Rattus norvegicus: one gene and its partners. The protein of the gene in region 2 interacts with the protein of the main gene of each other region in a pairwise test. Links are inferred from orthologs where the notes say so. Each region holds a gene or a part of one and is shown on either strand. Other genes may lie near its edges. The genes, in order: Tbc1d10c, Klhl12, Pdgfrb, Inmt, Ttbk2, Ntaq1 and Atxn1.

Region 1 (4,205 bases), on a different chromosome or scaffold from region 2:
CCAGCCTCTTACCATGTGGGGCCCATAGTAGCCAGGGAGGTAGACCTCACAGATCTGCACCAAGCACCAGAAGGCTTCCTGAGGGCAGGGCACAGGCCTGTGAGTACTCAGGAAGGAATTGTCCATAGAGGGGAAGGAGGGGTGGGACACATGCACAGGGGCCTGGATTCCTGCCACTTCCACCCTGCTCAGAGCCCACCGTGTCCAGGAGGGGAGGAGTTGGAATTCACAGGGCCTGGGGTTCTATATTTGAGGGCCATACGGTTGTAGCAAAAGTTGGGAGACTCTCAGAGCTTATATCCCAGAATCCTAAGGTCATTTGGGTGCCTCCCACCCCAACCCACGGCCAAGGCCACAGTGCTCCAGATCCTCAGTGCCACAAATTATAAGACAGGGAAAGTCAATGTGAGGGAATGTTCCTGGTAAGCCTTGGCATGGTACAGATCTCAGAATCAATATTCAGAATGTTAAAGTGAAATTTTTTTCAGACTCCTAGATCACTGGAGTAAAGGTCAGGATCAAAGGTCCCAGGTTCAGAAGTCAGGGATAATAAACTTAAGGGCTAGTGAGATGGGTAGACATGAGGCTTTGGTCGCAAGAACAGGGCTTGAAGTAAAGGAACACAGATTCCTGAGGTCCGAGTACCTGGGGTTGGGGTTGGGGTGTCTCAGAGCAGGGTCAAGGTCACTCACCTCTGGGGGCAGATGCATGAGCAGCACAGCAGCTACAGGTCCCTGAGCCTGGCAATATCCCTGTTCTGGCCGGTACAGGGTGTAGGCCTTGAGAACCTGCAGCAGCCCCTGCTGCCTGTGCCAGAAGATCTCATTAAGGCTAGCCTCCCAGGCATCCCTGCCCTGCCCTCTGTGGCCTCTGCCCAGGCTATGGTCTCCCTCATCCAAGGATGTAAAAGAATGACTAATGGATCTAGCACGAGGACCTGGTGTCACTGGGTATCCCTTGCCTCGTACCCATGTCCCTGGGGTGACACAAACATCTCGTGCAGAGGGAACTGCCGGTGCAAGTCCCTGCCAATGGTCTCCATCCACTGCGGGTCCCCTGGGGCCACTGCCAGCTCCTGTGGGTGGTGGGAAGGTACATGTGAGGGGTCAGATGGCAGGGAGCTCTGAGAAGGAGTAATAAAGATTCTGCCAACTTTCTCACCTGATAGGTGCCAGGATTGTTCTTCTGACACATATGGGCCCCACACAGTAGGGGCCAACACCGGGCACGTAGGGCTGAGGGGATGCCCTTTCGGCACTGTATCTTTACCTGTGGGTGGGGTCAAGGTGTGTCAGGTTAACTTGTCTTGCTCTCTTGCAGGTCCCAAGCACAGAAGCACAATTTCCTTCCTTCCTTTTCTTTTGTTTTTTGTTTTTGTTTTTGTTTTGAAACAGGGTTTCTTTGTGTAGTACAGTACTGGTTGTCCTGGAACTCACTCTGTAGACCAGGCTGGCTTCCAACTCATAGAGACCTGCCTCCCTCTGCCTTCTGAGTGCTGGGATTAAAGGCACACACCACTACTGGTCAGCTCTAAGGACAGCTTTTCATTGGTCAAGAGTCCACTTGGGCAGCAGAAGCAGGGGGATAAGAGCTTTGGGAACCAGTGTACATAGACCTCTCTTTCCTTACCTTCTTATATCGTCGAGACATGGTCTTCTCCCAGTGTAAGGTCATTTCTACCCATTTCATCTCCCGCTGGCGAATAAGGTCTGCAGGGGGTTGACCAAGCCTGGAGGTACAGAGCAGACACAGTACCAAAGTATTCCTTGGAACATATACCTTCCCATTCCAGTCTATCAGAGAAACCCCAGCTCCTGGTCTGGGGCTCTCTGAAGAGTCCTGGGAAATGATCTGTGGCCCAGAAGCTGCCAATGGCTGTACAGGTAAAGGAAGGGATTTGGGCCTCAGTAGGGATGGAAGCTGGCAAGGCCAACGGGATGAGGAGACGCGTATTTAGAGAAGGTCTGTTTGGCTGTCCTCTAAAACAGAGACAGAGATGGGTCACAGGGAAGCTGGGTGGGCAGGACAGTGCCCTGCACTGGAAGGCAGAAGCCCTGAGTTTGAATCTGCTTCTGTTTCTGATCTGCTATGTGATGTGTCAAGTTTCTGTCTGAATCTGATTAACTGTATTAGGTAAACCTGGAGAAGAGAATGAAAGACATCCGAATTCCCATCTGGAGTTCTTGGGCCAGAGATGAAAAGGGAAAAGATGTTCAGTTTGAAGAGAAAGTGCAGACCCTCGGGGGATAATAGAGATGTAAAAGACCTTCCCTCCACCACCCTTCTTACCTTAATCCCACATGGAACCTGAGGAGTGACACTGGAATGTCACAGCTGAGTTCTGGGCTGGTGTCTACAGCAAGACCCTAGAGGCCAGGCCTGATTCCAGAACTCAGTCCTCAGCCTCTGTCCCCTACCATCTCCCCTACCCATGCCTCACTTACCCCAGCTCAGCTGAGTTGCCCCCAATGAAGCCATATCGGTCAGCCTGACGATATGGGCTGGACCCACTGATCTCTGAGTCGGACCCTAGAGAGCTAGAATCATCCTGTAGTTCTGACGGTAGCAACAAGTCCTCTCCCAGGGCCTGGGCCATTCTGCCCTAGACCCCAGTGTCACAGGCTGCAAGACATATAGAGAGCCAGTGTGAACAGCCAGACTGAGGCTGGGGTTCCAGGAACCAGTCCTCAGTCACGGGGGAGTCAGGTAGTCCCTGAGGTACCACAAAGACCAAGTCTCTGTGTAGAGACCCACCCCAGGCCTGGCCCCTAGCCCAGCTCACCTCCTTGCTGCACCTCACCTCCTCCTCTCACTTCCTCCTCAGTCTCAGCTTCAGCAGCCTATTGGGGGCCCCTCCCTGGTGGGGGGACTCCCCCCTTCCTCTATGAGGTTCTTCCTGCTTGCCTTAGTGCCTGAGCCACGGACTCCTCCCATCACGGATGGGAGGTGTGAAGAGTCCCCGACTTGCCCAAGTTGAAGATGACAGGCCACTATCGGTTTTGAGGTTACTTGCGTGTAAAACCAACTCATGGTTCCAGTAATAATTATGCTTTAATGTCGTCCCACCACTCCAACCCACTGTCCTGGGTTTTCTTTTTTGAGAGTGAAAGGGTACAGTCTGGGAACAAGGGTCTCACGTAGCCCAGGCAGGAGATGAACTCACTATGTAGTTGAGCATGACCCTGAACTTCTGATCCTCCTGTGTCCAGACTCCTGAGTGCTGGAATTTCAGGCACTGGAATTACAGGTTTATGATACATTGGGTTCTTTAATGTGTTACTGTTTAAAAATAATACCTTTCCCCCCTTTTCTTTCTTTACTTTCCTTCCAGAGCCGGAGATAAAACCTCAGGCCTTGCACATGCTAGACAAGTCCAAGCATTCTACAAAGGACTTACAACAGGAAGGAGATAAAATAGTATTACATCACTTAACGAAAAAAAAAACCTGACGTAGCAGGCACCAAGGCAACCTGGACCAAAACATTGCTTCGAGTTCAGTAGCAGGTGTTCATGGGTCTGGCCATAAAGACCGAGGTGAATGTGAGGCTCTGGAGGTTTGGAGCTCACTCTCAGTGTCATTGAGCCTTAGTTCCTTTTTCTGCACTTCGAGGAATTACTTTACAGTGTTTGAGAAGTCAGCGATTAACATGCTCACACCACAATCCCACGCAGGGCTGGGGTGGGAAGAGACTTGGAAAGAGAAAAACAATTTCTACAGTACTTCCGGTTCTAACTCATCAGAACGCAGCAGGGCGATTCCTCCTGGGTGGAGCCGACCCAACTCCGCCCTACAAACCCCGCCCTCCACCCCTGCCAGGCCTCGCCCGGCCGCCCGAGGCCCTCCCCGGCTGCAGTGCTTCCGGTCCAGGGGAGGCGCTAGAGAGCAGGGAACTACGGACGCGGCAGGGCGGGGCGGCCGGCCGAAGAGGCGGGGCGGCGGGCCGAGGGCGGGCTGGGGAGGGCGGAAGGAGAGCCAGGCCGGAAGGAGGCTGCAAGAGGGCGGGAGGCAGGAGAGGGCCCGGAGCTGGTGGGCCGGAGCGGCGGCGCCGCCATGTCCGACAGCGAGAAGCTCAACCTGGATTCCATCATCGGGCGCCTGCTGGAAGGTGGGTAGGGGTAGGGAAGGTGCGCGCGCGCCGAGCCTGGGCCCATCGCCGTCCGGAAGTAGAGCGCGGGCGGGCCCGCCGCTCTCGGGGGCTAGCGT
Region 2 (2,785 bases):
TTCAATTGATTCAGTTCTATTTTTTCCAGGTCGGAGAATATGCAACATCCTGCACATTGCTTACAAGAAAAATATAATCCTATTCATGGACAATACATTGAGATAAATCAGAGTTTTTGTTTGATGTGAGTATATACACATAATTTTGGTAAAAGTGATGCCCTCTGGAGTCCACTAAGCTGGCCCAGCCCCACCCCAGGCTCATACCTAGACAGTAGATTATGCCGCTGGCCACCACTAGTCCCGCGCCCTCTCGAGCTGTCTGCATATCTCCCAGCATACTCCACTGGTCAATGTTTGGGTCATACCGCTCCATACTTGTATGACGCCTGCTTCCATCAAAGCCTCCAGAAACGTAAATCATATCTGCTCAGAGTGAACAAATTATAGACTGTTAAATTAAGAAGGAAAAACTTCTAGGACTTTTTTCTCTACAAATCACTGACTGTTAAGATGCGAGGAGGAGATGCACACATGAGTGTAATTACCTCACTCAGGAGATTCAGGAGGAGCTTCAGGAGTTCAAGGCCACTGTGACCAGAGACAAATTCAATGCCAGCCTGAGCTATTTGAGAACTTGTCTCAAGCAAACAAATTCTTATTCTTTCTTCAAGTTGATTTTTATTATTGTTCTTAAATTTCCCACTGTGTATATTAACTGTATATGGTAGTGTGTGTGTAAAAGTATATTTTGTACTCTGAGCATTTTCCCCTTAGATGATAAGTCACTCAAGTCTCGGAAGAAGAAAGGCAGTACAAACAAGCATTTAAAGCTCATTCATGCCTTTATGTACACCCGAGTTTCAGACAAGCTACACAGGGAAATTTACTGAACTCCATCTCAAGAAAATAAAAATTCTTAAGAGATCCGGGTGGTGGTGCATACTTTAAATGTCAGCACTCTGGAGGCAGGGGGAGGTGGATCCGAGTTCAAGGTCAGCCTGGCCTACAAAGGGAATTTAAGGGCAACCATGGCTATATAGAGAAACCCTGTCTTGAAAGACAAAACAAAATGAACTACAAAAAGAAATACTTAAAGGCACTGACGACTGTCCACATGGAATTTATAAACTATGACCAGTGCCCATGACCGTACAGCACAATTGAGCTCAGACATCGGTCATGCTCCCATCAAAGTAGAGGAGCTAAATGAAGCAGCATTTATCATCAACTACCTCCCAGTGTGGTGGCTCCAGCAAGGCCTCGCCGCACATTCATAGGGGCCACAGAGTACCACACTCCGTCTTCATCTGCTGTGTAGTCTAGACACTCCACTGAACTGAGGCGGGAACGGCCATCATAGCCACCAATCACATAGATCCGATCATGTAAGGAAACCGAGGCCACATACCGTCTCTTGCGAGTGATACTCTATGGATTTGGGAGAGAAAAGGAAGAATACCATTCAGATGGGCAAGCTCTAGCCCCACCTTTCTCCGCACCCTGCCTGTTCTAATCTTCTTTGCTTATACCCTGCTTCCCTTCACACAAGGGAAACCCCCTTGTGGCTAAGGTTCACCTTGAAAGGGGCTAGGTGACCACCTACAGAGTGAAATGCTTCTGCCTCATTGGGAGGTTTACAGAACATGTGATAGCTTTCTACTCCCCTTAAGGCACTGCGCCAAGAGACTGAATATCCTTCCATAGGAAAAGAACTGGCACATTGCTAATCCTGAGTCAGTACTGAAATACCCTAAAGGGTACGAGTGGTCCAAAGGCTTTCCATGTCTCCTCAGAAATGGTTCTTGGTTGTACAGTACTGAAATACCAAAAGGAGACTTAACTTTTTCAGTTGAACAGGACTCAACATAACTGAGTTTAATCTAGCACAGCATGACCAACAGTACAGGCTGTGCAGCCTGAACGGTGGTGGCAGCTAAATGTAATACATGGCTCCTGACACTTCCACAGTGAGAACTTCTAAACAGACAGAAACTAAGCTGGGTGTGGTGGTGGCACATGCCTATAATGCCAGCATTTGTCAGCCTGAGGCAGGACTGTCATAAATTTAAGGTCAGCCTGGGCTATACATTGAGTATCAGGCCAGCCAGAGCTATACAGCAAGACCTTATCTCGGTTGGGGATTTAGCTCAGTGGTAGAGCGCTTGCCTAGGAAGCGCAAGGCCCTGGGTTCAATCCCCAGCTCCGAAAAAAAGAACCAAAAAAAAAAAAACCTTATCTCAAAAAACAAGCCAACTGGTGGCTCAAATGTGTAACCCTGGCACCCAGGAGGGTGATGAAAGCCTGTAAGTTTGAAGCCACCCAGGGTTACATAGTGAGACTTTGTCCCAGGGAGGGATGTGTGTGTGTGTGTGTGTGTGTGTGTGTGTGTATGTGTGTGTGTGTATGTGTGTGTGTGAGCAAGACAGTTTCAGGAAGTAAGGAAGCCTGTATGTTTGTGACCAGTCAGGAATACAAAGTGAGATGTCTCAAAACAAACAAACAAAAAAGGGACCAGCAAGATAGTTTGGTAGGTAAAGGTGTCTGCTGCTAAGGCTGATAACCCAAATTTGATCCTTGAGAATTGTTCTCTGACCTCCACACACATGGTATGGCACAGATACGCCCACATGTGTGGACACACACAAAAACAATGGAATAAGAAATGGAAAAAAAAAAAAAAAAAACAAGAAATAACTACTACTATCCAAAGAACTATACACAGTGCGGCTGAAAGGGACATGCACTGTGCTATTCTGAGCTTTTCTACTCACTAAGCTGGTCATTTATGAGCTAGTGTCAAGAACCAATGACATTTCAACTTTGCTGGAAATGGTTCCACCAT
Region 3 (3,500 bases), on a different chromosome or scaffold from region 2:
GATCTTGGAGTCACAGGATTGGAATCTTATAATGACAGGATGAAGGGGGACTAGAGTCCCAATTCCGGAATCTTAAGTGTTTGGAGTTACAGAAAGGGGAAATGTCAGAATAGAGCGTCAGAACAGAATCCTGGGGTCAGATTGCATTCTTGTGACTCATGGCAGTCTCTATGGGTTAGAGCTGAAAGAATCTTGGGGCCATGATAGTCCACCCACAATGCACCATTTGCACCAGGACTGAGTTGAGCGGGAAGGACTGAGGCAGAGGAAAGAGCAGGGGCAAGAGTCCTGGACTGATCACGTCAGCCCAGTAAGGACTGAGGGAGCTGGAGACCCAGCAACGCTCTAAGTCAGCTCCAGGCTGAACTCTGTGTTGTGCCTTTCCTATGGGCTGGATTGTGTAACATACAGTGGAGACCGTGAGGAAATATGGGTACCACTCTGCACCCATACACAGGCTTACCCTCTGCCACAGCATGATGAGGATGATGAGAGAGATGACAGTAAGGACCACCAAGGCCAAGATGGCTGAGATCACCACCACTTTGAAAGGCAAGGCTGAGGACAAAGACCAGAGTAGGCCATAAGCAAACAGTATCTGGGTAGCTGCTTTCCCCATCTTGCTGGGAGCATCACAGATCCGTTGGACTTGCTCTGCTGAGCACGTGAGCTCTTACTGCCTAGATATCTGACCTCAGGGCCTACACTCTGGTCTTTCCTACAAGCCCAGGGCCCCTCAGTGACTCCCCTCAGATGACAGTCAGGCTCAGGCTGGCTTCTGCAACATCCAGCTAGGCTGGGGAACTCTCTTCTGGTTCCTGAGAATGACCTATGCCTCTCACAGCATTAGGCACTCTGGGGACCAGGCCACGACCCCCTCTTCTCTGAGTCCATGCCCTATTGGGCAGTCATTCCTGGGTCATAGATTTAAGAGCCATTCCTAACCAAATGGCTGAGGCACTCACCGAGTGACTCCCGAAGGAGCTGACTCTGAACTTCAGCAGCCTGAATAATCCACCACCAGAAGTCTGTTCCTCCCAGCCCCAGCCTGGGGACCACTAGTGTGTGTGGCACAGTCAGTATGCACCTCCCGGGGCCCTGAGGTGAACATGCAGGTCTCCCTGAGCCCTGAGTCCTCTCTAGCCCAAGACTTCAGCCTCACTGTTTACATCACCTCCCTAGTCAGCCTGGCTGAACCCCCATCCCCTGTCCTCTCCCACTTAGCAGGAGCTGTTGTGCTCTGGGAATTTGCTTCTTCCTGCCCTCCTCTGTTCCCCAGGGAGCCTTCCTCTGGCTTAGCCCCATCTTTTCCTTCTCAGGGTCACTGGCTGACATTTCTGTTCTCTCTTCCCTACATCCCTACATCCTGGTCTTACAAAGGAAGCCTGCACTCTCCAGAGACCCATCAGAGTCATCCTGGGTCTCCGTGTAATAGCTGGGTCTCCGTGTAATAGCACATGGCGTCCTGTGCAGGCGTCACACATGACTTTTCCTCTGCATTTACTCGGGCCCAGAGCTAGTCTACCTGTGTGCATAGATGAGAATATGGGGGAATAAGGGCACTTAATTTTTCTAACACCTAGACCGTAAGGACTATATGCTTGGCAGTGCAAGTGCAAAGAAATCTGCGATGCCTAAAGCAATGAACACATATCTTATATATTTTTGTGTGTATATATGTGAGCATTTGTATGACAGAATGCCACACATGTGGATGCTCACAGAGGTCAGAAGAAGGCTGTAGATCCACGGGATCTGGAGCTACAGGTGGTTGTGAGCTGCCTGATGTGGGTGCTGGGAACGGAACTCAGAGCCTCTGGAAGAGCAGCAAGTGCACTTAACCTCTGAGCCATCTCTGCAGTCCCAGTAAGGATGCTTTAAAAGCTCACCCTTCCTCTAAGGGCAGGTGACAGGCATGTACATAAGCAGACATGTACAAGCCTGCGGAAGCCTCTGTGTGTGTACACCTGCGTGGGTGTGTGCATGTCTCTGTTTTCAGGTATATGCGCAGTGTGCATGGGTCTGTGTTTGATTGTCTACGAAATACTCTTTGCAGCTGTATCCTGTATCCTGTATCTTGTAGCTGTATTCTGCATCCTGTAGCCCCATTCTTTACCACTTCCCTCCCTAATCCCTCCCCTACTCCAAATCCACATACAGTGTGCCCTGCATCCGGGCTCATTTGCTTCAACTCCTCAGAACCCACACAGAGCCTATGCTAGGCTTTTCCACAGCCCTCACGAGCTAGCTAATCCCCACTCATCTTTCAGCATTTGATATATTAGATCTGGCTGGTCTCATACGCACGGCTCACAAAAATATATTCTGCAGTTTCACATCCACGAACAGCACTGGGTATGCTTGAGTAGATGCTAACACGCATATACTCTGGAGACAAAGCCTCCTCGGCGCAGACGGCGTGCCCGTGAAGAGTGTACGCCTGACTCCCAGTATCAACCGGCTCATGCAAGTTTACAGCATGCATCTCGCGTGCCAGTTTCACTTTCTACACCTAAATGTCAATGTGTTTCGTGTTTGTGGTGTATAAAGTTGTGTTTGTGCACTTGTGTCAATGTCACATTTCGTGTGCGCACCTAGGAACCTACTCTGGTAGACTTTGTAACATTCTTCTGAGTATGCTGACTTGATCTGCTTTGGGAACTCGGACTCAGTGAGGTGGGATCAAGGAAGGGGTGAGAGCTCATCAGAGCCATCCGCAGCTAGGGCACTCACAGTGTGGTACCACGGTGACCTCTTGTGAATCTCTGCCCATCGAGTTCTGCAGCATACAGCGCACTGACAGTGGCTGGTCCACGTGACGCAGGCGCAGCGTGCTCACCACCTCATATTCCTGATCTTCCTCCCAGAAAGTCACGTTCGTTTCTAGCTGGCTCTCCTCCTTGGAACTATTCCCCAAGGGTGTGGGTGACAGTTTTCGCGGACACCTGCCAGGAGACACAAAAGGACTGGCTTGCAGACTCTCTTAGCTTCCTCTCTGCAAATGGTGGGGGAAAGTAAGACTGTGAATGGTGGTAGAAACGTTTGATTTCTTTGCTTGCTCTTTAAGCAGATTCCTACTGTGCTGCCTAGATGGGCCAGCAGGGGGCGCTCCCAGTCCAGAACTGAGACTCCTGAATGGCAAAATTCACTCATTTGACTCAAGGTTACTCAACGTGTTAAGGATAGAGAGGCAATCCCCGCATATCCACTGGGTGAACTAGACACCTCTGGGGGCCAGACCCTGCACCTTCCTAGGTTGAGGATGGCTCAGGATCAAGGTAAGAAAAGGAGAAATGTGGGTTAGGTATCTCCCGGAAGGCAGAGGAATGATCAAAGATGTGGCCTGGACCTCTCAGGTGAAGAGGCCGGTCTAGATTACCCTAAAGGAGCATTCTAGGCAGCTGCATATACTCTGGGAGGCCTGGCCTCAAGGTGTGCTCACCTTTTGAGGTCTCTGCAGGTAGACCAGGTGACATTTGGCTGAGGCATGCCCCGGCCCC
Region 4 (4,218 bases), on a different chromosome or scaffold from region 2:
TTGTACACACATACGTGCACACACATATACACATATATACATATGCATTTAACATACAGATATATACTCTCATAGACAAAGACATACACACATTCACATACACATATTTATGCTGCATCCACACATAATGCAAACACAAATACACATGTCACACACACGTGCACACATGTCACTCTTATCACACAGCCTTGTGTGTGGTCTTGGTGGCCCTCCTGATGCCTGGCCATGTCTTCTTCATATGTGGATCTGCAGCCCTTGCTGTGTAGCTCATGTCACTTGCATGGCCTTCCTGAGACACATCCCTGTTTCCTCACTTCAACTACAGGAGCTTGATCTCCCAGGAGAGATCACCTCTAGCCTCTCCTCCTGCCTCATATTACCTCTCTCCATCTTCCATGGTGGTAGCTATCTTCCTGTGTAACAGGAGCTCCATGGGGCTCCCTCCTGGCTGTGTGTGCGCTTGACTCATGACACCCAGATGGGACTATCTCCAAGGCTCCTATAATTGTGTCCCTCTAACTATGACCACTGTAGACTGTTCTGGACTGTAACAGTTATGCACTCTGTTTCAATATTACAGGACAGAAATATTAACCTGTTTTTACTCTGCTCTGAGGATGGCTAGAGGACCCTCTCTAAGCCTGGGCCTCAGTTTCCCCATCTGTAGGATAAGGTCAAAATCGCTGATCCTTGCAGCTGCAATTGGAGCATATATCCTCTGTGAACAAAAGTGACCTGCAGAAGGTCACTGCCATTAGTCTCAGTGCTTTGTCACCACGTTGAGGGGACAAGTGTGAAGTACACCCCATAGTCTGTCTTTTCATAACAAGTGTGTTCCCCAATGTCAGAGGAGACACTGAACCAGTTTCCAGAGTAAAGTGGGTGTGGTGTGAGCTGGGTAGTCGGCAGGACTTCCTGGAGGAGGTGGCATAGAAGCTTGAGTCACAGCTGGGTTGAGCAGAGAAAGGGAGAGTAGGGCCAGATGGTTTTGGGAGACATTAGGGCTAGAGTTAGGACTAACCCAGAGGGAATGTTATAGGTTCACGAGGATAAGGTGGGCCAGGAGGAAAGGGAGGTGCGTGGTGGGTTCCTGTGCTGTCCTGAGTACCAGAGGGGCCTTGTCTGAGAAGGACTAGATGGGTGGACAACATGGGACCACTTGCAAATACCTGTCTCCCTCCAGCTCACACACATGTTGTACAATGGAGGACCAGTCATAGGCTCCTGGCTCCTTCTTCAGCCATTTCTGCAGCTCCTGCAGGTTCTGTGGGGTGTAGTCAGTGGCGATGATCTCCCGGAAGACCTCGCATGCTGAAAGCAGCTGGTAGATGGTGGGGCCAGAGCCAATGTCAATCAAGACATCTCCCCCTACACCTCCTGTGGAGATAGACAGCATGGCAGGTCTGGGCACCCTGACTTCACATCCTGCAGAGTGACTCCAAACCACATTAGGATGCGCCTGCTCAGAAGGGCAGCAGCTGCTTGCCTCTGGGCTGTGTGTTGACAGGACTGGGGAGCAATGCTCGGGGTGGGGTAGAGCTGATTTTCTTAACTGCCTCCCCATTACTCCCAGGATACCAGTGGAGGCCTGGGAGGTATGTCTGGCCTTCTTGTTAAATTTAGGATTTCTCTCTCTCTAATCATGGGTTTATCTGGAAGAACATTGGATTTAGAAAACTGGGGGAATTGATGGAGTGGCAGGGTCTGGGATAAAGGCTGAGAAGGATGCCAGCCAGTTCTTAAGCCCTCTGGTTTGCTAGGAAAGGCAGCCACACATAAGAAAGCGAGGCACCCTAGTGTATGCCCTCTCAGCCTGCTCTCTTCTCAGTCTCCTTTTATACCTACTATGCTCCTGCCAAGGACCAATGCCTATACTGTGTCCCAGCTTTCTCCAGGAGCACCAGACTTCCCTTCCTCTACATTCTGAGGTTGCTCACCTGTTCCTTGGCACTGAATGTCTGGTTAAGAAGGCTTTCACGGGCTGGGGCGGGTGGTTTTGCAGAGAGCAATCTCCAGGGTCACACAGAACACACTCCCCATTAGTGCTGGGCCACTCTAAGTATTATGCTTTCTTCTTGCTTCTTGGAACTATTAGTTCCCCAACTTTGACTGGCCACCTCTTTCCCTCCCCACCATGCCCAGCCTTAGTTTCCCCTTAGACGTGGGAGGGGGGCAAATTATGGAAACTTGTATACAGGTATGTGGGGAAGAATTTTCATTAGATTTTTTTTCAGAGAGATTCAAGGTCCCAGAAAGGCTACAGAGCTTTCTGGAAGGCCTCTGGCAGAAAGGGAGGGAGGAGGAGCAGCCTTAGTGCCCAGTTTCATGTCACTTCTCTCAGCACGGGCCTAGTAGCCCCACAAGTCTGGGTGTACCCCTCAAAGTTTACAAGTGAAGCGGCTAAGGATGATCATGGCTGCAAGCCAACTTCTTTGCTCCAGAGGCATGGCTCCTCTGGACCAGCACACACTGCCGTCTGGGCCCTGTGGGCTTCCAGGCTAGTCACTTCTGTAGCGTCTGTATGTACAGGATGAGCTCTTTCTGTTGGCACAGCTCCAGCCCCTCCCTAGGGGACCTCAGCCACTCACCTGTAGAGAAGGTCTGGTAGAGGTTCTGCAGGCTGAATTTTACAATTTCCTGTTCTGCCACCGTGCCAGAGTCGAAGCTGTAGAAGGTGGTCAGGTAGTCTTTGGGAGTGAACTCTTTTTCATAGTCCTCACCTCCCATGTATACCTTGCCTGCCATTCTAGTCAGCCTCCACAGCTGCCTGTATTCCTTTGTCCCTGCAGAATGCTCACTCCTTCCCACCTTACCTTTTATAATCTCTGTGGTAAACTTCCCTTCTCAGGGAGGAGCTAGGGTCCCTGGAGATGGTGTCATAGTGCTGGTGTCAGATTTCTGGCTAGATTTGATTTTTGTGATGAAGCAAGAGGATGCTAGAGGGCCCCCAGTCCTGTCCTGGGTCATTGGGTCCTGAAGCTCTCATCTCTAGTTCTCTAGGGTCACGGTGTGCCAACGACTGGAATCGGGAGAGGGAGAGTATTACAGAGGGATAGAGATGCACAGACAGACAAAGAGGCAGAGACCAAAGAGATGAGGATCTGCTCGGGGATGCTTCACTCCTGGGGTTGAGAGTTGAGGGTGGGGACACAGGGCCAGGCCCCTGGCCAACACATTCAGGGCCCCTGGGCTTCATCTTGGATACAGCAAACAAAACAAGAAGCAGTGCTGAAGTGCTCCTCAGGCTGGGGAAGTAGGAGGATCAGAGATTCTTAAAATCTCTTTGCTATTCTACACTCAGTGAACTTGCCCTTGTAAACAGCTCATCTTTAACTGAGTTAATGATTCTCCAGTGGTTTAAGTCTTGTTTTCTCGTTTGGCTTAATGTTTTCTTTTATGAACTCAGGAGTAAACTTTGACAGCACCTCCCCAAGTCACTAGGCCTGTGCCTTGGCCAAGTCCTGCATTTGGACAAACAATTGAAAACATGTATTGGCACTACATAGAATGCCACACCTCCTCAGACACATGTGTGCACATGTGCGTGTTGTCCTCTACTCGTCCCCAGAATCATCAGCTTACATAGATCTGGTGTGGTCTGGTTTGGTTTCTTTGAAAGATGATGCCCCAGTTTGCTTTGTATTGCAATGGTAAACACCAGGACCAAAAGCAACTTGAGAAGGAAAGGATTTGTTTGTCTTGCACCTCCTGATCACATCTGTCACTGAGGAAGAGCAGGGCAGGAACCTAAGCAGGAGCAGAGGCAGGGACAGGGAAAGAACACTGCTCACTGGCTTACCCTCCATGGCTGGCTTAGCCTGCCTTCTTATATAATCCAGAACCACTGGCTAAAGGGTGGCACCACCCTCAGAACACTGGGCTCGCCCACATCAATCATTAATCAAGAAAACACTCCACAGGCCAGTCTGATGGAGGTCATTCCTCACTTGAGGGTCCCTCTCCCCAGGTGACTCTAGTTTGTGTTAGCTTGGAAGAAACTAACCAGCACAGTCGCTACCACAAAAGGAAAATGGACAGGGTGGACAGAGGCTGTGTAGACTCTTATTCTACTGTAGGAGAGTGTACAATGATCACACACGTGCGTGCACACACATATGCACCCACACGGGAGGGCACATGTGTACAAGCTTGCCTCATCTCTTTCCAAACGTCATTCAAGGTGAGAGCTTCTGGGTAGCAAACTTCAGAATGTGTTCC
Region 5 (3,500 bases), on a different chromosome or scaffold from region 2:
TACCAGGTCTCAAGAAACTTATCAGTATCTGGCTTTGGCTCGAGAGTCAGACGTTTTTCCAGCTCAAAGCTGTGAATGGAACGTAACTTCCTTACTAAAGGAACATCTCTGTCTGGCTGAGTAATCTCTGATCGGACACGAATTGGTGAGCCAAGGCTTGGAGCATTAAGAATTCCATTCACTTGACCATGGCTATTTTCTTCTTCAGTAGCTGCCTAGAAAAAAATAGAAAATACAATCATGAAAATTATTCCAAAGTTATACACAGGAGAAATCACTGAAGCCTTTGAAATAATGTCAACAAAAGATTACATGTATTTTCAGAAAATTAAATCTTTAAAAATTTAACTTTGAAAATTGTATTTACTTACTGTATATATGTATGTACATGCCCAAACTACATGTGACTATGGAGGTCAGAGGACAACTTGTGGGAGTGCTGACTCTCCGAGATGCAAGCTGCCAGGTAAGGTGGCAAGCACTTTTACCTTCTGACTCACCTCACCAGCCAAGAAAACTAAGATATTTTGACTTTGGGCCTGGAGAGATGACTCAGCAGTTAAGAACATCTACTGCTCTTGCAGAATACTAGAGTTTGGGTTCCAGCACCCACATCGGGTGACTCAACCACCTGTAACTCCAACTCCAGGGATCTGAAGACCCTGACCTCCATGAGTACCTGCACACACATGCACATAATTAAAAATAAAAATATTAGACAGTAATAGTTTTGTTTTATTAAATTTCTGTTTGTCAATTCTTTATACTCAGTTTTTCCTAGGTTTACACTTGGTGTTAGTATTAACTTACTTGTTTAAAATTATTTTTTGTAGAAGAATAGTTTGATAATGTTTAAAGACTGTCCTTCTTACATTACAACTATTTTAAGACAGGTCTCCCCCCCACCCCCCCCCCGGAGCTGGGGACCGAACCCAGGGCCTTGCGCTTGCTAGGCAAGCGCCCTACCACTGAGCTAAATCCCCAACCCCACATTACAACTATTTAAACGTTTAAAGAACCCTACGTCACTATATTAAAATTAAATCTTGGAAAGGAGGTTATTTTTGTGACATACAGACCTCACCAGAGTTAGGAGAGACTGCCCAAACTGTCATACCCCTTTCTCATTCCCTCCCTCAAAAGCAAACAACAAAACCAACACTTCGGACTAGAACAAGAAGCTGCTGGAAACTGCCAGGGCAAGCAGAAGGCTGGGCACAGGGTAATAGGCTACACAGAGTCTGTCTCAAACCAACCGACAAATCCAAATGACCAAATTCCTCAGGCTGGAGAGATGGCTCCATGAGTTACTAGTACTCACGGCGAGTCACATCTAACTTATCTCTAGGTTTCAGAGACCCTGACACCTATTTCTGGTATCTGTGGGCAACATACATGCAAGCCAAACACCTACACACATAAAATAAAAATAAAAATTAAAAGAAAAGAAAAACCCCCAAAGCTATCAAAATCTAGTTTGTTCTGGTGCCATAAGGACTGCCCCAGTTGATATTACAAAAATCAGATAGCAAAAGTAGTGGGCTTAGTAACTGATGCATTGAGTTCAATCTCCAGCAATGCACACACAATATTGAATCCCTACTTTTGACTACTCATTGCTGACTTCTACGTGTAGACATTATTCATTAGCCAGACCAATGCTTTTACAAATGTCAGAAAGTATGTATGCCTAGGCTATAATCTGAACTTGTATATTCTCATGCTATATTTCATGTATTGAACGCCCTAATTCCAAACTAAGATAATGGGGTATGTGGGAAATGACTAGGTCATGGAGGCAGTCTCCATAAAACTGGTATCTTTATAGGGGGTCCTAAAGAGACCCCCAAATCTGTCTCGATCACTGTAAGTGATAAAGTTCTGTTGTTTGCAAGGTACCTATTTCATATTTTTATTATAGCAGCCCAAACATACTAAGAATATATCCTTAAGGGTATTTTTCTTTTTTAAAAAAGATAACATTTGACTTAAAAGAAAGGAAGGAAGGATTACTTGGCATAAAGATGGAGCAGAGACTGCGCATAGCCAACCAATGGCTGCCCAACTTGAGACTCATCCAATGAGAGAGCCACCCTTACACTATTAATGATGCTCTGCTCTGCTCTGCTCACAGACAGGAGCCTAACCTAAGTCTCCTCAGATGCAGAGACCCACAGCAAAACACCAGGGGAGTTAAAGAGATCTAGTGGGAGAGTGCGGGATAGAAGTGGGCAAGCAGAAGGTCAAGAACACCAAAAGAAGACCCCATAGAGAGTGGACTACCAACCAGGGCGTGTGCAGAAGCTAGACTCCCTAACAAGCCAAGTGGGGGCTGTTTCAGCCTCTGCTCCCTCCCATTGGATCCCTTCCCCAACCTGGGACTGCTTGGTGGTCTCAGTGGAAGAGGATGTGCTTAGTCCTGCTGGGACTAGATGTCCCAGGGTGGTGTGGTGCCCAAGAGAGGCTCCCCTTCTCTGAGGACATGGGGACAACAGGACAATGGGAGGAGGAGAGGAGGAGGACGTGGGCTGTGATCAAGATAAAGTGAATAAAAAAATACTGAAAAGGAAATGAAAACAAAAAATTACTTTTATTTCTAATTGCATGCTGGGGTCTATGCCTGTGCACTTGTGTTTGTGTGTGGGGGTGGGGGCACATGCACACATGTTAATATATGAACACTGAGTGCAGATGATTTTAAGCATCCCAAATCATCAGATCTGGAGCTAGGGTTAAAGGCTGTGAGCCAACAGACATGGATGTGTGGTGAACTGAACTCAGGGCCTTTTCAACAGCAGTCCCTGTTGTAACAGCTGTGCCACCTCTCCTGTCCCTCTGTAAGGTAGGAATGGCTGGCCAGCTTTCTAGCAGCCATATTTTAAGGCTGAACCCTAACCTTCACATTCCCAACTACACCCTTTCACACTGTCATCATTTTCAGGACAAGGTTTCTGTGTAGCTGTGGCTAGCCTAGAACTCACTATAAACCAGCATGGCCTCAAACTCAGAGACAGAGATCCGCCTGCCTCTCCATCTCCCAACTGCCATGATTAAAGACACAATAACAACTACTACTACTGTAATGAATGACCTTTTCAACATTATCTTCATATTCCAAGAAAGGAAAAGAATCAACAGTGAGAGCAAAGAAAAGTCTGAGGGTAATCTGCCCACGAGTTAAAAACCCACCTATTTCTTTTCCACACTCACAAGTGGACCTGCGTATAATTCTATCTTTTATCACCCACTTTACCAGTTTATGATCAAGTGTGATCTGTGCTCTCCTCTTCCCCTCATTAGAGACAGTGCACCAAGGCTGTGAACAGAGCTGCACTAATCAGAGTCAAGAAAGGGAACAAAGCCCTGCCGTCATCTGGAAAGATGGTCCGCTTTTGTTCTACAGATGTTTCTTTTCTGTTTGTCATATGATTTCCCTCCTTCCTCCTTCCCTCCATCCTTTTATGGTAGAGGTGGAGATGGAACCCAGAGCCTTACATATG
Region 6 (3,500 bases), on a different chromosome or scaffold from region 2:
CTGTGGCCAGTCTGGTCTACACAGTGAGTTTCAGGTCAGCCAAGGTCTATACTATGAGGCACTGTCTCAAAAAGGAAGGAGGGGAGGGAATGTAATCTGCATAAATACACCATCACACGGTTTGTCACCTAGAGTAAGGGACTAAATACTTCTAAAGTGAATCTAAATGAAACTAAATGTTTGAAAGGTTGCTGCTCCAAAGTGTATGTTAGAACAGCACAGTGTCTGCGCTGTACTTGGCTTCTCAGGTCCCCCTGAGCCTCACCTCATTCCGTCATCACTTACCAACTTACCATCTTCTTCTCATTCGATATGAAGACAGCGTAGCACTCCTCCAACAGATACTGGTTGTGTGTTTTGATGTATTCACAGAGCTTCCAAATGTTTTCCTCACTGAAACAAAATGATTGCTTAATCAATATAATTACAAGTGAACAGCTGTCTTTTGGATTTAAACAAAAGATGGGTGAGGATATAACTAGAGAAGACCGTAACCGCCTCATCTGACAGCTGGTTAACAGGTGGCTTTGGCACAGCCAACAGCTGCTAGCCCACCTGTACTGGGTGCACACGTGCAGAGGGCCCTTTCCTACCCCAGGAGGCTGACTGAGGCCAGTAAAAACTATGTCAGGACTCCAAAAGCTGAGAAACTCTGGAATCCCAACTCAATCACCACCAGGCAAAGCAGCTATGCAATTCCTTCCTGGCTTCTCCAAACCCTGCTTTTCTCCTCTGTAAAATTCAATCTTACGCCACACTGTCACCTTCCTCAAATCCCAGTACTTGGGAGACAGATCTCTTCCAATTCAAAGCCAGATAGGGCCACATAGTAAGGACCTGTTTCAAAAATAAATAGGGCTGGAGAATTGGCTTGGTGATTGATTAACCATGCCTACTGCTCTTCTAGTTTAATTCTTAGCACCACATCGCAGCTTACAACTGCCTGTAACTCCAGCTTCAGGGGGATCTGACATACTCACAAGCACAAACTCACATACACACTCACATACATATATGAAATTAAAATAAACTGAAAACATTTCCATTTTAAAAAATAAAAAAATCATTTTAAAAGTCCTTTTAGGAGCTGGACAGTGTTGGCACACGTCTTTAATCCCAGCACGGCAGGGGCAGGGGCAGGGGCAGGGGCAGGGGCAGGGGCAGGGGCAGGGGCAGGGGCAGGGGCAGGGGCAGGGGCAGGGGCAGGGGCAGGGGCAGGGGCAGGGGCAGGGCAGGGGCAGGGGCAGGGGCAGGGGCAGAGGCAGAGGCAGAGGCAGGGGCAGGGGCAGAGGCAGAGGCAGAGACAGGCAGATCTCTGGGTTTGAGGCCAGCCTGGTCTACAGACTGAGTTCCGGGACAGCCAGAGCTTTAAAAAAAAAAAAAAAAGGTGGAAACCGAAATTCATCTTCCTATGCTCTGCTCTATCCCAGCCAAATCTCTCCCTATGTGACAGGCAATTAGCTATGTGACATAGTCAGAACCTGCTTAAGCAATGCTCAGGGTATCACACTGAGCCTCCTTCCCAAGCACAGGCAAGCACAGGCACTCCTCCTAGCTGACTTCATGGCTCAGCCTCTGGGTCCCTATCTGTATGTAATGAATCAGATACACCTCTGCTCAGAATAAGCCTCATGAGCGCTCTGCTGGCCCTATCACTCACTGTTAGAGCCAATTTCTACTCATCCACACCTCACTACCTGAGAAAGACAGGAACAGCATGCAGGAAATTTATGAAATTATAGTAAACAAAAAGTATTACAGAAATGTGCTTTTTCTTTTTTTAAAAACTATTTATGCATTTATTTTATGTATACAATTACACTGTAGCTGTCTGCAGACACACCAGCAGAGGACATTAGATCCCATTACAGATGGTTGTGAGCCACCATGTGGTTGCTAGGAATTGAAGCAGCCAGGGCTGCCAACGGCAGAGCTATCTATCTCTCCAGCCCTGAAATACGCTTTTTCGATTACATTTAAAGAGAGAGACACACACAGAGACAGAGAGACAGACAGAGAGACAGACAGACAGACAGACAGAGACAGACAGACACAGAGATTTTTGCATGTCACAGTGCATGTGTGGAAGTCAGAGAACAACTTTTCAGGGACTGTGGGTCCCAGAGATTGAACTCAAGTCTTCCAGTTTGCTGGCTGGTAACTTTAGTCCCCCTTACCCCACCTACACTTTTAAGAAAGATTCAGGGAGGGCAAACTAGCTCAGAGGGTAAAGGCTAAGCCTGAGACCTGCGTGCGCTCCTGGGTATCCAGGAGGAGAAGAGAGAACCAACTCAGGTCCAGTCGTCATTCCTCAGACCACCCATGGACACTCACTCATGGACCAACTATGCTCTAGACATCGCCCTGCAGCTAAATGCTGGAACACTTCCCCCATACCAAGTCCTGTCCCACTGGTTTCGCCTGGAAGCTATGTGGATGAATAGGGGAGACAGATGTAGGGGATCCAGTCACAGAGAGGAAACTGCTTGTGCCCCTCATTACAATGGTCCCAGATTCTTCTTGGGTGCGTTGTAAACAGAGAAGCCACTCTTTAGGCCCTCTGCTCTGAGCACACCCCATAAAATGTTTATCCAAGTTCTGAGAAGACATGTGTTGGTCTGGTCTCACAGGAATTCTGAACTTAACCAGGAGCATCTTCAAGGGCATGAGATACACATCACAGCTAAGTGCTTAGATCATGAATTAATGCCTACAGACCAGAGGCATAGAGGCAAAGCACCAATTATCCCAGGGGGTCCATTAAAGGTGCATAAAGACAGCAGAGGAGGAGTCATTAGTTCAGAGAGATGGGGAAACAGCTTAGGTACAGGCTAGCAGTTTCTCCTTTTTGCCTTGTCCCCGTCTCCATCCTGAAGGTGGTTTGGAGTTAAGGCACCGTTCAAGAGTCTACAAACAGCATTAGCAGGCAGAACTCATGATATGGCTTGAATATACACTGCCCGATATTTCTCAAATTTCTGTGAATGTTACATAGGGAAAAAAATAAAATGTGGCAGTAGTGGTGATACACGCCTTTAATCCCAGCACTCAGGAGGAAGAGTCAGGTGGAGCTCTGAGTTTGAGGCCAGTCTAGTCTACAGATAGAATTTTATGACAGCCAGGGCTACACAGAGAAACCCTGTCTCCAGAAAACAAATAAATAAAAAACTAAATAAAAATAAAAAATGAGGGCTGAACAGATGGCTCAGCGGTTAAGAGCACTGGCTGTTCTTCCAGAGGTCCTGAGTTCAATTCCCAGCAACCACATGATGGCTCACAATCATCTGTAATGGGTTCCAATGCCCTCTTCTGCTGTGTCTGAAGACAGATAGAGTGTACTCATAAATAAAATAAATAAATAAATCTTTAAAAAAAATAAAGTTAAATTAAAAATGAAGCTAAAGGTTCCTTTTTTTAAAAGATTCATTTATTTATTTTATATGAGTACACTATAGCCATCCACGGACACACCAGAAAAGGAAATTGGATTCCCATTACAG
Region 7 (4,222 bases), on a different chromosome or scaffold from region 2:
CACTTATTTGCAAAGCTGCTAAAATATTGACTGATGCGTGGCCAGTTAGAGGACAATCAGAGGAGATTAAATGCCACAGTTAAGCTGTTATGGTGCAATCCCTTTCCAAGAGGGCTTGTGCATGTTTTTCCTCTCTCTGGTGGCTACCTCTAGCTTCCGCTGGCATAAGCTTCATTCAAAAATAAAATAAAAATAAAAATAAAACCCTCGGCTATCAAACTGTCTCAGCTACCCACCCACCATCAATAAACCAGAGGTTTAGGCTTAACGAGGGCTTCTAGGAATGACAGGGCTCTTCAAAAAGCCACACAGAAATGGTTTAGCAAACACTCTTGCAAAAAGTAACCAGCTGTACCTAAAAATACCCAGCCTGTAACTACCTTGTTGCCTACGATCTATAGCAATGCTGTTTAAATATTAAGAAGAGCTCGCATTATAAAACAGAAATGTCACTGAGATGACACCACTAGATTGCTACAGGGAAACATAGGACATACACACATTCCCCTGCATGCCAGGCAGGATGTGAGGTGAGAGCTCTAAAGCATTACTTTTTCTTCTGTAGGTGGTGTGGGGTCTTCTAATTTTACTAATTGTATCCTGTGACTCTCTCTCTGACAAACTAAGAAATCTCTTCGGGGACAGAACCAGTTTGGAGGAGTTCCTACTGCACAACATACGGTAAACAAAATAAAAATAGCTTGCCTTTCTTGTTAGCCACATAGCGCATTATATAACCAGCTTCCGACTGGCTCTTTTTTTTTCCGCCCTTACTACTCTTCAACAATTTCCCAACCTTCCCAAGTATTTATATTACCCTCTTATCTGTAGGATTATACAGCAAGAAAGCAAAAACAAAACAGGACAGCCACGGGATCGAACTAAACCCTTTCGTCTTAGAACCCTGATTCTCCCACCCCGCCCCCCACCCCCACCCGGCGCCCCTGGTAGAGTCTAGACCAGCACCCTACTTCCACCCCCCACCACTAAGGTCCTTGCTCAATCTCTCTAGAAAACCTGAATTGTTTCACCGCTTGCAGTCAGCTCTCTACGTGGTCTGAAATAAAATGAAAGCTCACAAGCCACAGAGTTGAAGGAGGTGGCTAAAGAGAGGTCGAAGGGCTGCAGAGTCAGCTAAGGGACCACTGTGGACCCCACTCCCCATCGCGATGGTCCTGGCCCCCCGCCCGGCGCGCGAACACACGCGCACGCACACACACACACACACACACACACACACACACACACACACACACACACACACACGCACCTACACACTCACACGCACTTACTCCCTGCTCTCCGACCCCGCCTCACCTCTCGCTCCGCCCGTCCGGCCCCTTCCCTACCCCCTGCGGGACTGGCCTGCGCGCTCGGCTGCAACCACGTAGGAGGCGGCGGCGGCGGCGGCAGCCCGGGCAGTGGCGGCGTCTCGGGCCCCGAGTGAACGAGCCGCGGGGCTCCGGGGCACATCCCAATCCCCGCAGCGCCTCCTCCGCCGCCGCCTCCTCCTTCCCCTCCTCCCGTCTTCATTCACCCTCCCTGCCGCCGCGCAGGAGAGCAGTCCCGGCGCAGGGCAGCGCCCGCAGCTCCTCCGCTACTGCCGCGGGCGCCGGCAGGGACGCCGGGCCGAGCTGGGGCGCTCGCGGGCTCCCGGCTCCCGGCTCCCGGCTCCAGCTCCGGTGGCGGCGGCTGCCGCTGCTGCTGCTGCTGCTTTGGATCAGGAAGCGGCCGCACCAACAGGGCGGCGGTGGCGGCTGCAGCTAGGGCCGGTCCCTGTCGCCTCTCCCACTGCGCTGCGATGGCCCGCGTGCCCTTGCCCCCTGAGCCGCCACCTCTCCGCGCCCCCGAGCCTCCTGCAAGTCCCCTCTAGGTCCCCTCCTGGCCCCGAGACGCTGGCCTGGGCGGGGAGACCCCAAGCTCGGGGTTGCCTCTCTCAAGCTAGGCGACCCCGGGCGGGGAAGCCCAGCCCTCCCTCGAGCCCCCGCAGCGCTCGCCGCCCCCACTCGGGAGGGGGGCTGTTGAGGAGTGAAGAGGGCAGCGCGACCCTCCGCGGCTGCCGCCTCCCCCTACGCCACACGGAAGGAGGAGGACGGGGCTCTATGCGCTCGCCGCCGCCGGACCAGCAGCAGCCGGAGCGGGGCGCCGCCGTTCTCCCCACCCGCGCCCCCCGCCCGGGCGCGCCCCCTCTCCTGGCGGCCGCCCACCCAGCCCCTAGCTGCTCCCCTTGCTAGCCGCTCCTGCTCCCAGTGGGGGTCCCGAGCCGGGAGGCAGGAGCCGGGCACTGGTGTATGTACACAGTCACACATACACTCGCGCGCGCCTGCACACACACCACACACACACACACACACACACACACACACACACACACACACACACACACACACACACACCACGACGCGTCGGTTTCCTTCGCTCCTCTTCCAGCTGTTTTCCGTGCAGCCCATTGAGACTGGGGGAGGGGGGTTTTATGCTGGATGTTTCTTTGGCCCCCTCTCCGGAGAGAGCGGATTGGGGTGCGGGAGGAGGTGATTTTAATCTAAATCGGGGGGAGGGGGAGGGGGGAGAGAAAGAATCAGAGGAGGAAAAAAAATAGCCACTTACTGTAAAGTGTAAATGGATCTGGGGTTGCGTGGGGAAGGGGGAACAGAGGGAGAGACACAGTGTCCTGCGGCTGTTGTAGCTCTAGCTGCGGCTCCACGGGGCTTGTTTTGGATCCCCCTGCAGTGAAACAGGTCCTGTACGGCTCCTCCACTGTAGTAGAAATGATGTCTGCGGTATACTCTGCTCTCTCCTCCTCCTCCTCCTCCCCCCTCCCCTCCCTCCTCCCTCCGCCCGCCCTCCCTCCCTCGCGCTCTCTCTCGCGCTCGCTCGCTCGCTCCAGTATGTAAATGTGTAATAGAAGCCAAATATGGAGCAGTTGGCTGCCGCCGCCGCAGCTCAAGGATCCGACTTCATGGGGGGGGGGGGGGGGAGAGGCACCCTCTGGCAGGCGGCCCGGCGAGCCGCACAGAGCACGGCGAGCGCACGGCGCGGCTGCCGGCCCGCGCCCTTAACCCTTCTATGCACCCGGGCTGGGGCAGCGCTCGCTCCAGGGGAGGCCGGGTGTCTCTCCGCAACTGCGACTCCAGATCCCGGACACCGACCGGAGGGAACTGTGCCTTCCAGGTTTGAGAAAGGGGCGGGGAAGTTGGGGCGATGAGGTCATTGGAGTGGTGACCGATCGGTGCTCGCGCGCCTCCCCGGCTCCCTGCAACCTAGTTGGAGGGGGACAGGGTGAGTGCAGGGTGCAACTCAGGCAACCTGGGAGACTCAGAGCAACGGGTGTCAGGCTTTGACTCCCACCTGGTAAAATACCCAAGGGGGCGGGGAAGTCGGCTGATTCTAATTACGAAGCACCCAGGGTGCCCCTGGTGAGCATCTAAGAGGACTCTTTGTATCCCCGCGGTTAACTAGCCAGCCCGCCAGTCCTGAGCCACCCGATGCTAGGCCGGTGCCTTCTGCCTTGGCTTGCAACTCCGGAAAGTTCTCAGGCTTCCCCAGCTTGCACCGGCACCCTCACCTTTCCTGCCTGGACAAGCTGGCGACCTCCTGGGCCTCCTTTCAAATTCTGCTGGTCTAGAAATCTGCTATGAGCATCGAACGTCTCAGCTCTAGCCCTGGTAACCGAACTGCTGCTCACTCCTCACAGCTAACTGTGGACCATTCATCTCATCTCAAGTGAGGTAACCCGTGCACTGAGCAGTGGATGGTGGTTCTCGGGAATCCAAGGCGAAAGAACTTCCCACCTTGGCCCGGTGGCTAAACGCAGACGCGGAGTCCCCACCCGCCCCCTCCGGCTACACCTCAGCCGGGTGTGAGCTCCGTGGGAAGGAATCTTCTCCGGAGGAGTGCACCTTGCCAACAGGTGTGGCATCCGAAGGAAGAGCCCGCACCTCCCCAGGAGGGTCGCTCGGTGTGGCGATCTCTTTGCTGCAGATAATTCTTGAAGACCAGTAGGTGTCAGGCCAGCATCTGACCTCTTTCAGGTGCTTAAAACTAAGAGTCTGGAAACTTGATCCCTTGGTCTCGCTGGAAGCCACTACTATTGACTGTAGCTGGATTTGAGAGACCTTTTGGCTCAGTTTACGTAGGACCTAACAGTTAGTCACTATCTGAAGCAGCGTACAGAGTCACCGAGAGAAACGTGTGAGCTTTTAAACTACTGTATTGTGGAGCC

The links.
Region 1: the proteins of Klhl12 (region 2) and Tbc1d10c interact in binary tests that used the Homo sapiens proteins (3 or more experiments, as listed by UniProt). The two-hybrid records come from large-scale screens. The link is inferred for Rattus norvegicus from reciprocal best matches to the Homo sapiens genes KLHL12 and TBC1D10C.
Region 3: the proteins of Klhl12 (region 2) and Pdgfrb interact in binary tests that used the Homo sapiens proteins (3 or more experiments, as listed by UniProt). The two-hybrid records come from large-scale screens. The link is inferred for Rattus norvegicus from reciprocal best matches to the Homo sapiens genes KLHL12 and PDGFRB.
Region 4: the proteins of Klhl12 (region 2) and Inmt interact in binary tests that used the Homo sapiens proteins (3 or more experiments, as listed by UniProt). The two-hybrid records come from large-scale screens. The link is inferred for Rattus norvegicus from reciprocal best matches to the Homo sapiens genes KLHL12 and INMT.
Region 5: the proteins of Klhl12 (region 2) and Ttbk2 interact in binary tests that used the Homo sapiens proteins (3 or more experiments, as listed by UniProt). The two-hybrid records come from large-scale screens. The link is inferred for Rattus norvegicus from reciprocal best matches to the Homo sapiens genes KLHL12 and TTBK2.
Region 6: the proteins of Klhl12 (region 2) and Ntaq1 interact in binary tests that used the Homo sapiens proteins (3 or more experiments, as listed by UniProt). The two-hybrid records come from large-scale screens. The link is inferred for Rattus norvegicus from reciprocal best matches to the Homo sapiens genes KLHL12 and NTAQ1.
Region 7: the proteins of Klhl12 (region 2) and Atxn1 interact in binary tests that used the Homo sapiens proteins (3 or more experiments, as listed by UniProt). The link is inferred for Rattus norvegicus from reciprocal best matches to the Homo sapiens genes KLHL12 and ATXN1.

Annotation. Positions count from the first base shown.
Region 1 is NC_086019.1:210,910,592-210,914,796, forward strand, and holds the start of Tbc1d10c (carabin), read right to left. Parts: upstream 2,801-4,205; 5' UTR 2,783-2,800; exon of another isoform or gene 2,623-2,782; 5' UTR 2,597-2,622; coding exon 2,445-2,596; intron 1,730-2,444; coding exon 1,630-1,729; intron 1,270-1,629; coding exon 1,162-1,269; intron 1,076-1,161; coding exon 969-1,075; intron 808-968; coding exon 693-807; intron 79-692; coding exon 13-78; intron 1-12. Other genes in the region: Ppp1ca (serine/threonine-protein phosphatase PP1-alpha catalytic subunit), read left to right, coding at 4,053-4,107.
Region 2 is NC_086031.1:48,479,265-48,482,049, reverse strand, and holds part of Klhl12 (kelch-like protein 12), read right to left. Parts: intron 1,372-2,785; coding exon 1,176-1,371; intron 367-1,175; coding exon 208-366; intron 1-207. UniProt on the Homo sapiens protein: Substrate-specific adapter of a BCR (BTB-CUL3-RBX1) E3 ubiquitin ligase complex that acts as a negative regulator of Wnt signaling pathway and ER-Golgi transport.
Region 3 is NC_086036.1:56,794,348-56,797,847, reverse strand, and holds part of Pdgfrb (platelet-derived growth factor receptor beta precursor), read right to left. Parts: coding exon 3,443-3,500; intron 2,946-3,442; coding exon 2,734-2,945; intron 559-2,733; coding exon 464-558; intron 1-463. UniProt on the Homo sapiens protein: Tyrosine-protein kinase that acts as a cell-surface receptor for homodimeric PDGFB and PDGFD and for heterodimers formed by PDGFA and PDGFB, and plays an essential role in the regulation of embryonic development, cell proliferation, survival, differentiation, chemotaxis and migration.
Region 4 is NC_086022.1:85,649,956-85,654,173, forward strand, and holds the start of Inmt (indolethylamine N-methyltransferase), read right to left. Parts: upstream 2,801-4,218; 5' UTR 2,746-2,800; coding exon 2,589-2,745; intron 1,378-2,588; coding exon 1,170-1,377; intron 1-1,169. UniProt on the Homo sapiens protein: Functions as a thioether S-methyltransferase and is active with a variety of thioethers and the corresponding selenium and tellurium compounds, including 3-methylthiopropionaldehyde, dimethyl selenide, dimethyl telluride, 2-methylthioethylamine, 2-methylthioethanol, methyl-n-propyl sulfide and diethyl sulfide.
Region 5 is NC_086021.1:128,162,417-128,165,916, forward strand, and holds part of Ttbk2 (tau-tubulin kinase 2), read right to left. Parts: intron 216-3,500; coding exon 4-215; intron 1-3.
Region 6 is NC_086025.1:91,580,359-91,583,858, reverse strand, and holds part of Ntaq1 (protein N-terminal glutamine amidohydrolase), read right to left. Parts: intron 2,579-3,500; exon of another isoform or gene 2,452-2,578; intron 394-2,451; coding exon 294-393; coding exon of another isoform or gene 286-293; intron 1-285. UniProt on the Homo sapiens protein: Mediates the side-chain deamidation of N-terminal glutamine residues to glutamate, an important step in N-end rule pathway of protein degradation.
Region 7 is NC_086035.1:18,942,347-18,946,568, reverse strand, and holds the start of Atxn1 (ataxin-1), read right to left. Parts: upstream 2,801-4,222; 5' UTR 2,608-2,800; intron 2,551-2,607; exon of another isoform or gene 2,397-2,550; intron 1,460-2,396; exon of another isoform or gene 1,318-1,459; intron 1,282-1,317; exon of another isoform or gene 1,080-1,281; intron 920-1,079; exon of another isoform or gene 1-919. UniProt on the Homo sapiens protein: Chromatin-binding factor that repress Notch signaling in the absence of Notch intracellular domain by acting as a CBF1 corepressor. Binds to the HEY promoter and might assist, along with NCOR2, RBPJ-mediated repression. Binds RNA in vitro.